3 linked regions of the Solanum lycopersicum genome follow. Each later gene encodes a partner of the first gene's protein in a complex. Links are inferred from orthologs where the notes say so. Each region holds a gene or a part of one and is shown on either strand. Other genes may lie near its edges.

Region 1 (4,160 bases):
ACAGTAAAGATGATAACACCGAAATCAATATCCATTAGAAAAGTATTAGATGAATAAATGGTAAAGATCTGCTATTTACAATAGATAACCTAGCATTCCAAGTTACAACCACAACAATCAACTTACACAGCTGTTAGAGGGGTGCTAGATCCTCCAGAACCTGCACCATCCATATTAAAGACATGTCCACCTTCGCTTTGGGTTTTCATGATTTGGATGGCTTCTTTAGTGCATAGTATAGAACCAATCAGGTTTGTTGAGACAATCTGTATAAAAAAATTTGGTAAGCAACAGACCAGAAATACTTACTAGAATATTAGCTTACCCATCATGCAAGTACACACAGCAGATAGTTGATTATTATATGCACATGGAGTGTTAACTTGAAAAGGTCAACAAGCATGAACACCTTGCTATGCATGACGAAACGGGGAAATTTTCAAGTAGTAGTTAAAAGAAGGCATTAGTACATATTGATGGATAATTCCAGGAAAACGGAAAGTTAAAATGAGTGACCTGGTATATAAAGTATACAAACTACATATAGGTGTTGGGGGGACGGGGAAAATAATTTGTTAACAAAGTTCTGCAACTGAACAGTTAGAAAACCCACAGTGCATACACCACCCACCCTTCCACAAGAGAGGGGGGAAAACAACAAAAGCAGCTCTTACTTGACAATTTAATATACCCCACCCTAATACCGACCCACCCCCGATCCATCTTCTATTATATATGCAGCCTTGAAAGCAATTATTTTGCAAGAGTTTAGAAATGGAAGAAGTTGTAGAGTATCAACATAAACATATGAGAACTGTCAACAACATGGATACCTCTTGAATATCATTGTCGGTGAACTCCAGCAAGGGTCGAAAGCCTTTGTTTGTCCCAGCATTGTTTACCTATATAAAAGACAACCTTTAGAAGCATGAAAACAGAACAACAAACCAGGAAAGAGGCTGTTTTTCCTCACAAGTCCTCTGGATGTGGATGACTGTATTTTCTACTCACAACCCTGTAGTTCTTGTCATATGTTGTGTATTGTATTTTGATTATCCTACTGTTATTGTTTTTCTCTTGACACTTCCAATATTTTCTCTCCTTTTACTTGGGTTTAATGCTCTTGAGTCTAGGGTCTTCTCGAGACAGTCTCTCTACCTCCTCGAGGTAGTGGTAAAGTCCAAGTCTGTGTACACTCACTCTACCCTCCCAAACCCCACTTTGTAGGATTTGACGGGGTATATTGTTGTTGTGGTGGTCTTTTGCTATGAAGAAAAAGAAAATTACTCACCCAAATGTCAATATAACCAAGTTCATCTGCAGCAAACTTGCCCAGTTCTTTAACATCAACAGGTTCAGAGACGTCACAAGCCATACCAACCAGTTTTGCATGTGCCAACTTTAGTCTAGCAGAGCCGGTGGCAGCATTGACAGCTTCCTTCAGATTTTCCTCAAGCTCCTCGATAGTCAAACGGACAGATGCCGGGCTGTGTTAAGGAATGATGTATTTACAAGAGATGCTAAACAAAATAAGTGGATGCAAATAATCAATTAATTACCTGCGGGAGGTAACAATGACCCGATCTCCAGAAAGTAAGAATTCGCGGGCAAGAGCTTTCCCTAGTCCCCTTGTACTGCACCAAAAAATAATTAAAATGGTAATTACAAACAATGAAGGTATGAGTAAAGTATTATACCTTCCAGTTATAAGGACATTACGGGGGCCAGCTCGAGCAACATCATCCAAAACTAAATTGGATCCTATCATAGTGCCGATAATAATTCCTCCAAGCCAGCTGTACCATATCAATTCATTCATCTGGCTATCTCCACCTGTAACAATTAGAATTAGTTGTTACCAATCAATCCATGCCTTAAAAACTTTCAAAAGATGATAAATGAATTTGCTAACCTGACAACTGAAACCCAACGAACATGACAACACCTGTGCTCATCATTGTTATAATATATCTTCCAACATATAAAGCCAACTGCAAGATTGGAATACAAATTTAACTTTTTCCCATTCTCAATTGATGTTAAAGATGTGTAAGAAACATATGTACCCAGAATAATCTCTCTTCCAACATCTCCATAGCTTCTCTAAGCTTATTTTCAGTTCTCAAACTTGGCTTTGAACAACTCCATACAGCAGACCTAATAGCTCCAACCAACTTGTTCACCTTCACATACTCAGCATCATCAGACTTAAAGCTCCTGCAAGGTTGTACAAAAACTCTACGTCGTCCATGAACCTTCACAATCGAAGGCCGGAAAACATTACTGCTCGGTAGTAGGTGGTGCGTTGACACGTGTACCTTCGCCACCATGTCCATTTATTATTTTAATAAAAATAAAAAAGAAAAATGGTGCACTTTTTGTTTTGTTTTACAAAGATCTATATGAATTTTATATATATGCAAGGAAAGAGATATAAATATCCAAATTTTTAGGGATTTGGATTGTGTGACTTGAAATTTTCTCGGATCTAGTCTACTACAAAAAGAAAATATCTAAGGAGTTGGAAGGAATTTGATTTTTGAAAGATCAAAGGGAAACCAAGTTGATGACCACACGTTAAAGCTACTCTTTATCTACACGTTTCATCTGCTACGTGTCATTGTAGGTCCGCATATATATTACCGTCAACATTATCTCCTTCTCCCACTTGTGTTTCAAAAATAATCAAAACTTCAATTCTAATGTGTTTAACAAAAATCAAATACGCAAGTGAATTGTCTATTTGAGTTTATTCATGAATTCTGTATGTATATTTCTAAGATAATATGATCCATTGTGGTAGCTATGTACCTACTTGTTTGGGCATTTAACATTATCACATTTTGAGTGATTTTTCAACACTGTTTGGTTATGGTATAACTTGTCTCTTGTTCATGTATAAAATAATGTATTAAGTTATGCAATATTTAGTAGAAATTCTTGTTTAGGTAGAAAAGTCAACATAACTTATATCATGTTTGGTTGCATTTTTGTAGTTTTATATAATTTATATCAACATAACTTATGAGGGAATCTATGTATAAAGTTATGTAAGGTAGAAAGTAAAATAAGTTATGCGGGTATTATTTATACATGTATTAAAGTGACAAATTACATATTTACCCTATTAATTTATTTTATTGTTTATAATTAGAAATTTTATTGTATTCCTATATTGTTATTGTAACTACCCGCTAGGTCGTTTTGAGAAGTAGGACTAGTTTGGCTCCTTTTGAAAATTTAAAGGGTTATTTTTAAGCTTTTAGATAACTATGAGTACCTAATTGATGAAACTTTTATTAAATAAATAATTAGATAATAGATTAGTGGAGTTTCACGATTAATAATTTCTTATTTAGAAGAAAAGAAAAAACGAAAAGTAAGGAGGCGAAACCTTATCACAGGCTACCAGCGAGAGGGAGAAAATCACAGCCATTGTTCAGGTAAAGATATGAGATATTCGTTCTTTTCAATTCTATATATAGTAATATATTGTCGGAGTGTTTGGGATTGTATTATTATTCTATGCTATATTGATAATGGGAGAATTGGTGGAGATGTGGAAAAAAAAACCAATCTTCTGCCAATGGAGGCATTCGCGATGTGTATGTTGTTAGCACTGCTCACGTTTCTTCGGAATCCTGCCAAGAAGTTAAGGCAGTGATCAATTTCTTGAAACCAGAGGTTGTCTTCTTGGAGTTATGCTCAGGTCGGGTGGGTATACTCACACCTCAGAATTTAAAGGTACCAACAATGGGGGAATGCTTTAATTGGCATGCAGAACAAATAGCACAAAAAAACGGGAAAAGGGGAGGGGCGTTCCACTTCTGCCAATGGGTGGAAATTTTGTTCACGTGTATTCATATATTAAAATGCTAGTTTTTAATATATTGGGACTGGTAATTAATTATTAGGTGTTATTTTATATGATCTAACATTGAGTTTTAGTCCATTTGAAGAGGTTAGAGTTAAGTTCTTGGCTTGAAATTTAGCAAGTGTGAAAAAAAATTGGCATACCAATATATATCAAGATTTGGAGTTTGTTGAAAATATGTGTGAGTTTTAGCGTCTATGATAGACATATAATAATTTGAATGTCTACAAAAAAATTGCTTACTTACGAATATTGAAAAATTGGTAGATTGGGAACGTTCCGAAAC
Region 2 (4,243 bases), on another chromosome or scaffold:
TAGGTTTGCATGGTATTTGGATTTATCCCATGTTATCTATATTTTACGAAAAATTATGCGATTAAGCAAACTTATACAGCTTAATTACTCATTATAGTTATAGTTTGCTATAATTACCACATGCGACTAACATTAACCATTAATTATGTGGGCTGACTTCGAGTTGTATAATTAGTCACGTTTGTATAATTATCCACATTCGTATAATTCACAACTAACAATTCTTTGTTTGATTTATATTTCTATACGATGATTTGTATTTGCATATGAGATAATTTCCTTTGGTTTCTCAGTTTTGTCACTTTATATATTCAATCTTTTTGTGTATAGCTTTCAAAAGTTTGTATAAACGTGCACTTTTTTTTTATAATATAATTTATTTAATGTAACTATTTAAAGTCAATAAATGTATATTTATATCAATTCGTTATTTTGAGGTGTTTTTTTTCATATTTGTATAATTTTAAACTTAATATTGCTCAATCATGCAAAAACACGGAATTATACAAAGGTACCCACGAATTATACAAACGAGATGCGAATATACAAATTATTGCCCTCTCTCACTTGCCTCTCTCCTCCCTCTCCCGATCTCGCTTGATTCTCTCCTCTCTCTCCCAATCTTGCTCGTCTCTCTCCTCCCTCTCACAACCTAGCTCGCTTCTCTCCTCCTTCTCCCAATCTTACTTGTCATATATACAAAACCTATATGAATAATATTCAATTATCTAACCAATATACATACACAATTTACCTCTATCCCATTTCTACCCTCTCTCCTCCATCTCTCAATCTCGCTCATCTCTCTCCCTCCTCTCTCAATCTCGCTTGCCATATATAGAAATACATATGTATAATACACAATTATCTACCTGATATACATGTGTAATTCACCTCTCACTCTCTCGCTCGTATCTCTTATCCCTCTCTCAATCTCTCTCGTCACTCTCTTTCTCTATAACATATAGCTACGAATTGTAATTAACAAATTATAACTATGAAGCATAATTAGGCTATTTTTGAGTGAATATATGCAAAGTTCCTTTTTATATTATGGACCAATTCAAGTTTTTTAAAACTATAGTTATAAATTTGATAAAATATAATAATTTTCATAGATATAATTGATAAATTAAGAAATGCATTAATTTAAAGTCAAAATAAATTCATATTGCGAGAACAATCATTATATGAGATACAAACCGTTTAAAAAATCATGATAGAAATTATAAATTTTATTTACATATGAAATAAATGACTGGTATATATATATATATATATTGTATTTTTAAAAATCAGAATTTTGAATTAGGATTTAAAATACAAAAATTTGATTAAAATAACCATGTTTAAGATATGTTTAATCAAATTTTTGTATTTTAAATCCTAATTCAAAATTCTGATTTTTAAAAATACAAACGACAGCGTATTACATGGGCCACAGCACGTGATGTTCGTTTGCTTCCCAAAAAGCAAAGAGATAGCAGTGAACATGACAGTCCTCCTGCTATGGCTGTTCCACTCTCCTCTGCCAAATTTCACACTTCAATTCTCACACAATCACTCCCCTCTTCTTCCTCTCGTTCTTTTTCCGTCGGAAAACGCTTCTGTTGCTCGTCGTCATCAACTTCCATGGAACATCATGAATCGAAATTTAAGGAATTTCCTTATGCATCTGTTCCGCATAGAGAGTTAATGGTGGAACTTGTATCGACTGTGGAGAATCGTCTTGGAGAGTCTCTACTTCCTTGTACTCTGCCTTCTCATGTGCAGTATTTTGAGAATGAATCTGCTACTGCTCATGCTTCTCTCTATGTCAGATCTGGAAATTCCTCTTCTCAGGTACTCTCCGACTACCTCCTCAATTGATTCTACTATTTATTACCTATTCATTCGTTTTTGCAGTTGTGTCAATTATATGTAGTATGATATAGAATTACTTCCTGTTGGATGTTTTGTTGAATTAGTATATACAGGGTGAATAACAAATCTATGGACAAAGAAATTGATTTTCATAATAATAAAGTGTGATACCAATAGTTTAGAACCCTTATTTTCAAGGAAAAGTTTGTCTTGGGACTTAATGACGACACTGAAGTGCACATTAAGCGAAGTGGTCAACATGTGTAAGCCTTGCTTCAAGGCTTGAGCATGCATAAAGTATGCAACCAAAAAAAAAACGCCAAGAATTTTCTCCTAATGCCCTTCAATATGAATGAATACACTACTATCTTGTACATAGTGAAGTTGATAAAGAAAACAAGAAAATTATTATGTACTATAGAATAATGATTGAGAAAGCTAGATCTTGTCATCTTATTTTAGTGGATTTGGCTTATGCAGAAGAGTTAATCCATTACGCATTGTGCTTTTTGTAGATTGTCCTTTTTACTATGTATGCTAATTCTTTTAATAGAAGTAACATGAATTGAAATGCCAAATACTTATCTGTATAATGTGGTGATGGGAGTTAAGAAGATCAGCAAATGTATTTTTGGTTTTATTCACCCAATGAAGTCAGACAAGATTTTTATCAAATCTGTTTCCTTTGAGCTAATTTCAAATTGAGTATTTCTTGTTCAAGCTATATATCTTGCACTTTCTAGTAAATAACAATCCATTCGTTACAATTAAAAAATATATAACAAACAAAATTCGTGAATGTGCTGCAAACTCCCACTAATATTTTAATAGTTTGCAGTTTGTTCTGTGAAATACATCTCAACTAGTTTTTCTGTGATCTTGTCAAAGTAGTTTGATCTCTGCTTGTTCCCCATTCCCTAGCTTCAGGAGCTGTAGGGGGAAAATTCATATGATCTGCAATCTCACCTTCTCACCATTACCATTCCCAACTTCAATATCTGGCGGCACTGAGTTTCCCATCTGAATAGGTGCTGAGGTAAGTTGTGAACTAGTATCCAATCTGGAACAATAGAAGTTTCTTGCTCTGGTTTAAAATTCTGTGCACATCTCAGGATTTCATAGTGTATGACCGACCCAATGTGAATGAATGACTTGAAAAAATGTTATTGAAGTCTGTTTTGTTACAGAAAGTCAATGTAAATAGTGTTGTAGTTGTAGTACCCAATCTCGACTCTTCCTTTCAATTGAAATTGACTCACAAAAATTTTCCTTAGTTCTTTCATAGTAGGTTCCTTTGATAAATTTACCCACAATAGTCATTTGCAATTATTAGCCAAATTCACGAAATAGTCATCAGCAGAGAAATATATGGTTGGCTTTCCGAGATGAGTCTCATGCCTAATTTCAACAGGAGCTTCGGCGATTGAGGCATTGGCAAATCAGCTTGAACCTTTCTGTGAAGGTTGGTTTCGATGAAGTAGCACCCTTTTACCTTTCCCTGCTAAATTGGGATGTTTCTGTTGGAGTTGAATATTGGGGTTCTGATTTATCAGTGGCAACAGGGTTATGATCAGTTCCATTGATGTTGGTCGCGTCATCCGATTTCAATTTTGAAGAGGGTGTGTGAAATCTGAGGACACCTTTGGCTGAGGGGTTAAATGATTTTGGTGGGTGGATTTTGAATGGGTAGTATTTTCCTGTTGAGGTGTTGCATGCGTGATCTGCAAAAGAGTAGGCTGAGTGTTAATAGCAAGTTGGAGGTTCTGGTGAACTGTTAGGGGCAAGCTTTAGGAGTTTATTATTGTCCATGTGTTGTTCCTCTGAAGGATTGGAAGAAATAGGGGATGATGTTTATTGGTGTTGTGGTTGTTGGTGCTAGAAGGAGTTGATTATTGTGTGTTTGGGATTTTTCGGCTGGATTGGTTCAAACTAACCATTGGGGGTTGTAGGAGAGCGGGTGCGTTTTACTGAGTTGTCGGTGTAGGAGAGACTGCAGTTGGTTGAGATGAGTATGGATTGAATGTATAACTAGTGTTTTAGGTGGGTTCCGATGCACAATTGGTGTTTGCTGAAAAGATCAATAGATCTTCATAGAGAGAAGCTAAGAGAGTGTGCATCCAAAATTGACCAACCAATGTAACTGCTCGATTTCAAGAATTATCCTTGTTCATAATTTGTAGTTCTCTGCAAGTTGCATTCACCTGATGTCTTCTTGGGGAGTTATACATAAGGACTGCAAAAGCATCAGGGAGATAGCAATTTGGATCTGGCTTCTGTTCATTTATTCTTATCCAGTTCCATTCCTCCGCTTATAGTTAGTCATTCCATTGAGAGTTCTTTGACAAGTCCATTTAGTGTTCTTTTTCTAATGCCTATAATA
Region 3 (4,096 bases), on another chromosome or scaffold:
TGGTGCCATAGGTACATTAAAGGAACAAATCCATATCACCCACTTCTGATCACCCACGATTGGAAGCTTTGTGTCGATCTCTATTCTGGAAAATTTTCCAATGAGATCTTAGTCATACTATGCAAATAGTTGCAGCATGGATGGAGCTAACATTTACATATAAAACGTAATTCATACAAAGATATAAAGACATGTATACCAACAACAAAGCGAACTTCCATCTATTGATGCGCAAAGCCTTGTACAAACCATGCACCTGGTCTGGAAAGCTATACCTTAAAGAACCCGACTTGAACAGGATATAATGCCCACAACCATAAGAGTATAGATACATAATGCTACTAATGTCTCGTTTTGTTAGCAGATAACAGACTCTGTGAAGTAGGAGAAAGAGAAATGTGATGCAAGCATATCTACCTAAAGATGATTAATTTATACATGATTGCTTGCCTTGATAGTCAAGAAATTTGATCTACTTTAGGATGATGAACTTACTTATTCATTGAGTAACAAGGTGCGACAAATTTTGCAGTAATTTTTGGTTTATCATTGTTCGCACCAGCAAAACCCCAAGGTCCAGATGCCTCCATCTTGAATGGCAAGGGCTTTGCTCTGTCTCGCCTTCCAGTAACCTGTAAAATATCAACAAGTAAGTTAAGAGACATGTGTTGTTGGACACCAAGCAAGCAGCAGCAGTATCACTCTAGTAAAAATGCACATCTATATATACACCGTATTCTGTTATCTGATACATGAAGCCCTTTGCTAATAATAAAGTCGTTTAGCGACTGAAAAGATGAAAGCTCTACTTCAGATCTTTCTGAAATTTATATTTACAGATAGATACACACAACATTGTCTGTAAAGGTTATTTTAAGGATCGTCTGGCACGCTGTTCAGTATCTAGACTCCAGAGAGCCTAATCCTGTCAGCTGAATATGAAGCAACATCCAGAGTCAAAACATGTTATTCAGCATCCACACTCCGGATAGCCTAATCCTATCAGCTTCATCTTTTAAGATGGTAAGATCGAAAAACTATCCATAAATTGATAAAAGTAGCACTGAAGTCATAAGAGTGATAGTTAAGATTCCCATGGCGTACTTCTACCTATTGCTCTCCAAGTATGGCTTTTACCTAATAATTGCACAGAAAGTAAGGTTATGAAAACTTGTATAAAACAATGAGCAACACTCAAAAGCTACACCTTTATACCGTTCCAGATAAAGAGAAAATCCTCCAAGGAACGACCTTATATATGTTTTGGCCAAGCACAGCGAGCTACTTGGCTTAAGAGTTCAAAAGTTCACTTTTTTCACATGTGAAACAGTTTGAGTTCATATTTTCATGGAAATCAAAAACCAAACAACCCGTAGCTTATGAGAACTCAGAACTAACCCTGAAGACTATTCATTTTTAGCATGTAAGGATAAAACCTTAGGTCTGAAAGTGGATTCTTAACTATATTAGAAGCCAAAAAGGAATGAAAATGTTGCAAAAAATACCTTGTGGTGTGCAAAATCAATGTGAGAAGGATCAGAGACGTTCTCCATGAGAGTGTCATAGCCATAAAACAAATCACGCTGAATTGTCACAGTTGCAAACTCAGGCTTATCAAAATCTTCAGGCAACCTACAAATATCCCATTAAACAACAAATTTAAATCCCACTAAAAGTATACTCAAGTCTACCAACTATAATATCTTGATCAACGCGATAGGTAGGGGAATGGGATTCGATTCTTCAACCACACATGCAGGGCATCAACCAAGTGAGCTACCAAATCAATCTCATTATCCAGCAATAGCTTAAATAAAATACGAAGAACATATTTTAAGCAAGTCATTGTACTAAAGATAATCGATTAGTATTATAATATAAACCAAGTCACTATAGTAGAGATTAATATATAATAATATAGCATAACTTCGAACTAGTTTAATTAATTATTCAGAAACTTACATGGGCGGCTTTGTTGCCTGAGCTCTCTCCCATCCATTTTCATCAGGCCAAACAAAGAGTAATCCTTGAGAAACCATAGTAGGAAATCTAGTAGCACAAGCTCTTGGAGACTGAAAAGCTTTAGCTTCAGGTCCTTGAGATGCAGCTTGAGGTATCCTTGTACAAGAACCACATCCATTAAATGACCATCCATGATATGAACACTGCAAATCACCATTTTCATCTAATCTCCCTTCCTACAAACACCCATACATCAAAAACTTTAAAGAGGAGTGCTAAAAACACATATAAAAAGTATCCTCAAGCAAAATCGAGAAGTGGATTTGTACAGATAAAGGAGCAAGACGATGAGGGCATTTGTCATCCAAAGCAACCCACTGAGATCCAGATTTATCAAACCAGATAACTATATCACGATTCAGTAGCTGAAACGGTGTGGGTAAACTCGGGTCGAGATCTTCCACTAATGAAACTGGGTACCAATGATCTCTCCAAGAGAATTTCGACGACGAATCTTGTTCATCATTTTCTGTATCTTCAATATCACTAGATTTTGAATCTAGCTTCTCTTCTTCTTCAGTAGCTGTTGTTGTTGTTGGAGGTGCAGCTACTCTAAGAGGAGATGAAATTAGCGTATTTTTTTTCCTTGTAATTTGAAGAAAATTATGAGGTTTGAAAGGTAGTGAAGACTGTAAGGAAGATGAAATTGAAAGAATTTGAGGAGTTGGTAGTAACAGAGAAGAAACCATTATTGAGTTAATCAATGTTTTGTGTTACTAATACACATATGTTCAAGTAAAGAAGAAGAAGAAGGATTTGCGTGCAAGTTATGAACAATGTGTTTGAATTGGAATTTGATGAGTTTTGTGGTTTGTGAGGGAGGGCCCAGAAAATGAAAGCTGTGGTGGTGGTGCTTTAGGGAGAAGAAGAGACCGTGTTAACGCGGAGTGGTAAATACTTCTTTTATTTGGTTAGAGTTCTTAGGCTTGACTCATTCGAATATGGAATCGTATTTTTATTAGAGAGCTCTTTATTCTCAACGTGACACAAATTCAAATTTGATTAGGTTACACATGATAATAATTGTGAAAGTAAAGAGGAGATAAAATCAATGGTTAAATGTCAATAGCAAAATATTTCTATTACACACTTTCAACTCAAAATTTTAAAAAAATATATTTCTAACATGTGTTTGGAGTAAGGACTAAGGAGTGGAAAAGAAAATGATCTTGAAATGTCACAATATTTAGATAAGTTATTTAGTATAATTTCATAATATATCATATCGTAGCATATTACATTATATATTATTTTGATAAAAATATATTAATATATCCTATCGTTATCGATTGAATGTCATAATCAATACTTACAAGAAAATAAGATAGATCTAAGATCGAAAAAAAGATGAAATAAAATTATTAAACAAAATGAGAAGAAAGAAAAATAAAATTATAATACAGTCACACCAAATTGATGATTATACAAAATAAAAATTTTTCAATGTTATCTAATAATAAATTTAACAATACAGTACAGTAATAAAAGAGTCATTTTCTTAAAAGATTTCACCAACCAAATATGGAAAATATGTCAAAACACGCCCTAGTAGCAACAATTTTCTTCTTTGCTTTTTTTTTCTATTCATAAAAAAAAATCTAGTTCTATTCCCAATTCCCACCAATGTTTTCCTTTTCTTTTACTTGAATTTGGTATGAAAGTAAGTGCCTTCTTCCATTTAAACCAAATCATTAAAAAGAGGGGGGGAAAAAAAATTCAATTTTCCCTTTCTTTTTACCCTCATTTTCAAACTTCTTACTGAAAATTCTAGCCCCGTTCCACGCAGCATATTACATATTGTTGTTTCTGAACAATAAAGCAACATCACACTTACATATCTGAAAATCTCTAAAAGAACAATTTTTCTTGAAACAGTAGTGTCCAAGCTAGATAGGACGCTCCTCGATCACACTCTCAAACATGCAAATTTCCTCCAGAGTTTTCGATAACAATGGTGTCCAGGCCAGCTAGGGTGCTCCTGGATCACTCTCAAACATGCTAATTTCTCCTGAGCCAGTTTCAACAGACTCTCATTATTATCTCTTTTCATTGAATAGAAAGAAAAAGGGGAAAT

The links.
Region 2: probable chlorophyll(ide) b reductase NYC1, chloroplastic (region 1) and red chlorophyll catabolite reductase, chloroplastic share a complex: the UniProt entries of both Arabidopsis thaliana proteins name them as parts of the SGR1-CCE-LHCII complex. The link is inferred for Solanum lycopersicum from reciprocal best matches to the Arabidopsis thaliana genes NYC1 and ACD2.
Region 3: probable chlorophyll(ide) b reductase NYC1, chloroplastic (region 1) and lethal leaf spot 1-like protein share a complex: the UniProt entries of both Arabidopsis thaliana proteins name them as parts of the SGR1-CCE-LHCII complex. The link is inferred for Solanum lycopersicum from reciprocal best matches to the Arabidopsis thaliana genes NYC1 and ACD1.

The regions. Positions count from the first base shown.
Region 1 is NC_090806.1:26,308,526-26,312,685, reverse strand, and holds the start of probable chlorophyll(ide) b reductase NYC1, chloroplastic, read right to left. Parts: upstream 2,802-4,160; 5' UTR 2,337-2,801; coding exon 2,067-2,336; intron 1,992-2,066; coding exon 1,913-1,991; intron 1,834-1,912; coding exon 1,698-1,833; intron 1,635-1,697; coding exon 1,560-1,634; intron 1,488-1,559; coding exon 1,292-1,487; intron 903-1,291; coding exon 834-902; intron 267-833; coding exon 127-266; intron 1-126. UniProt on the Arabidopsis thaliana protein: Involved in chlorophyll b degradation. Belongs to the chlorophyll catabolic enzymes (CCEs).
Region 2 is NC_090802.1:10,423,281-10,427,523, forward strand, and holds the start of red chlorophyll catabolite reductase, chloroplastic, read left to right. Parts: upstream 1-1,442; 5' UTR 1,443-1,509; coding exon 1,510-1,842; intron 1,843-4,243. UniProt on the Arabidopsis thaliana protein: Catalyzes the key reaction of chlorophyll catabolism, porphyrin macrocycle cleavage of pheophorbide a (pheide a) to a primary fluorescent catabolite (pFCC).
Region 3 is NC_090810.1:57,602,862-57,606,957, forward strand, and holds the start of lethal leaf spot 1-like protein, read right to left. Parts: upstream 2,801-4,096; 5' UTR 2,712-2,800; coding exon 2,292-2,711; intron 2,199-2,291; coding exon 1,963-2,198; intron 1,633-1,962; coding exon 1,506-1,632; intron 633-1,505; coding exon 496-632; intron 86-495; coding exon 1-85. UniProt on the Arabidopsis thaliana protein: Catalyzes the key reaction of chlorophyll catabolism, porphyrin macrocycle cleavage of pheophorbide a (pheide a) to a primary fluorescent catabolite (pFCC). Works in a two-step reaction with red chlorophyll catabolite reductase (RCCR).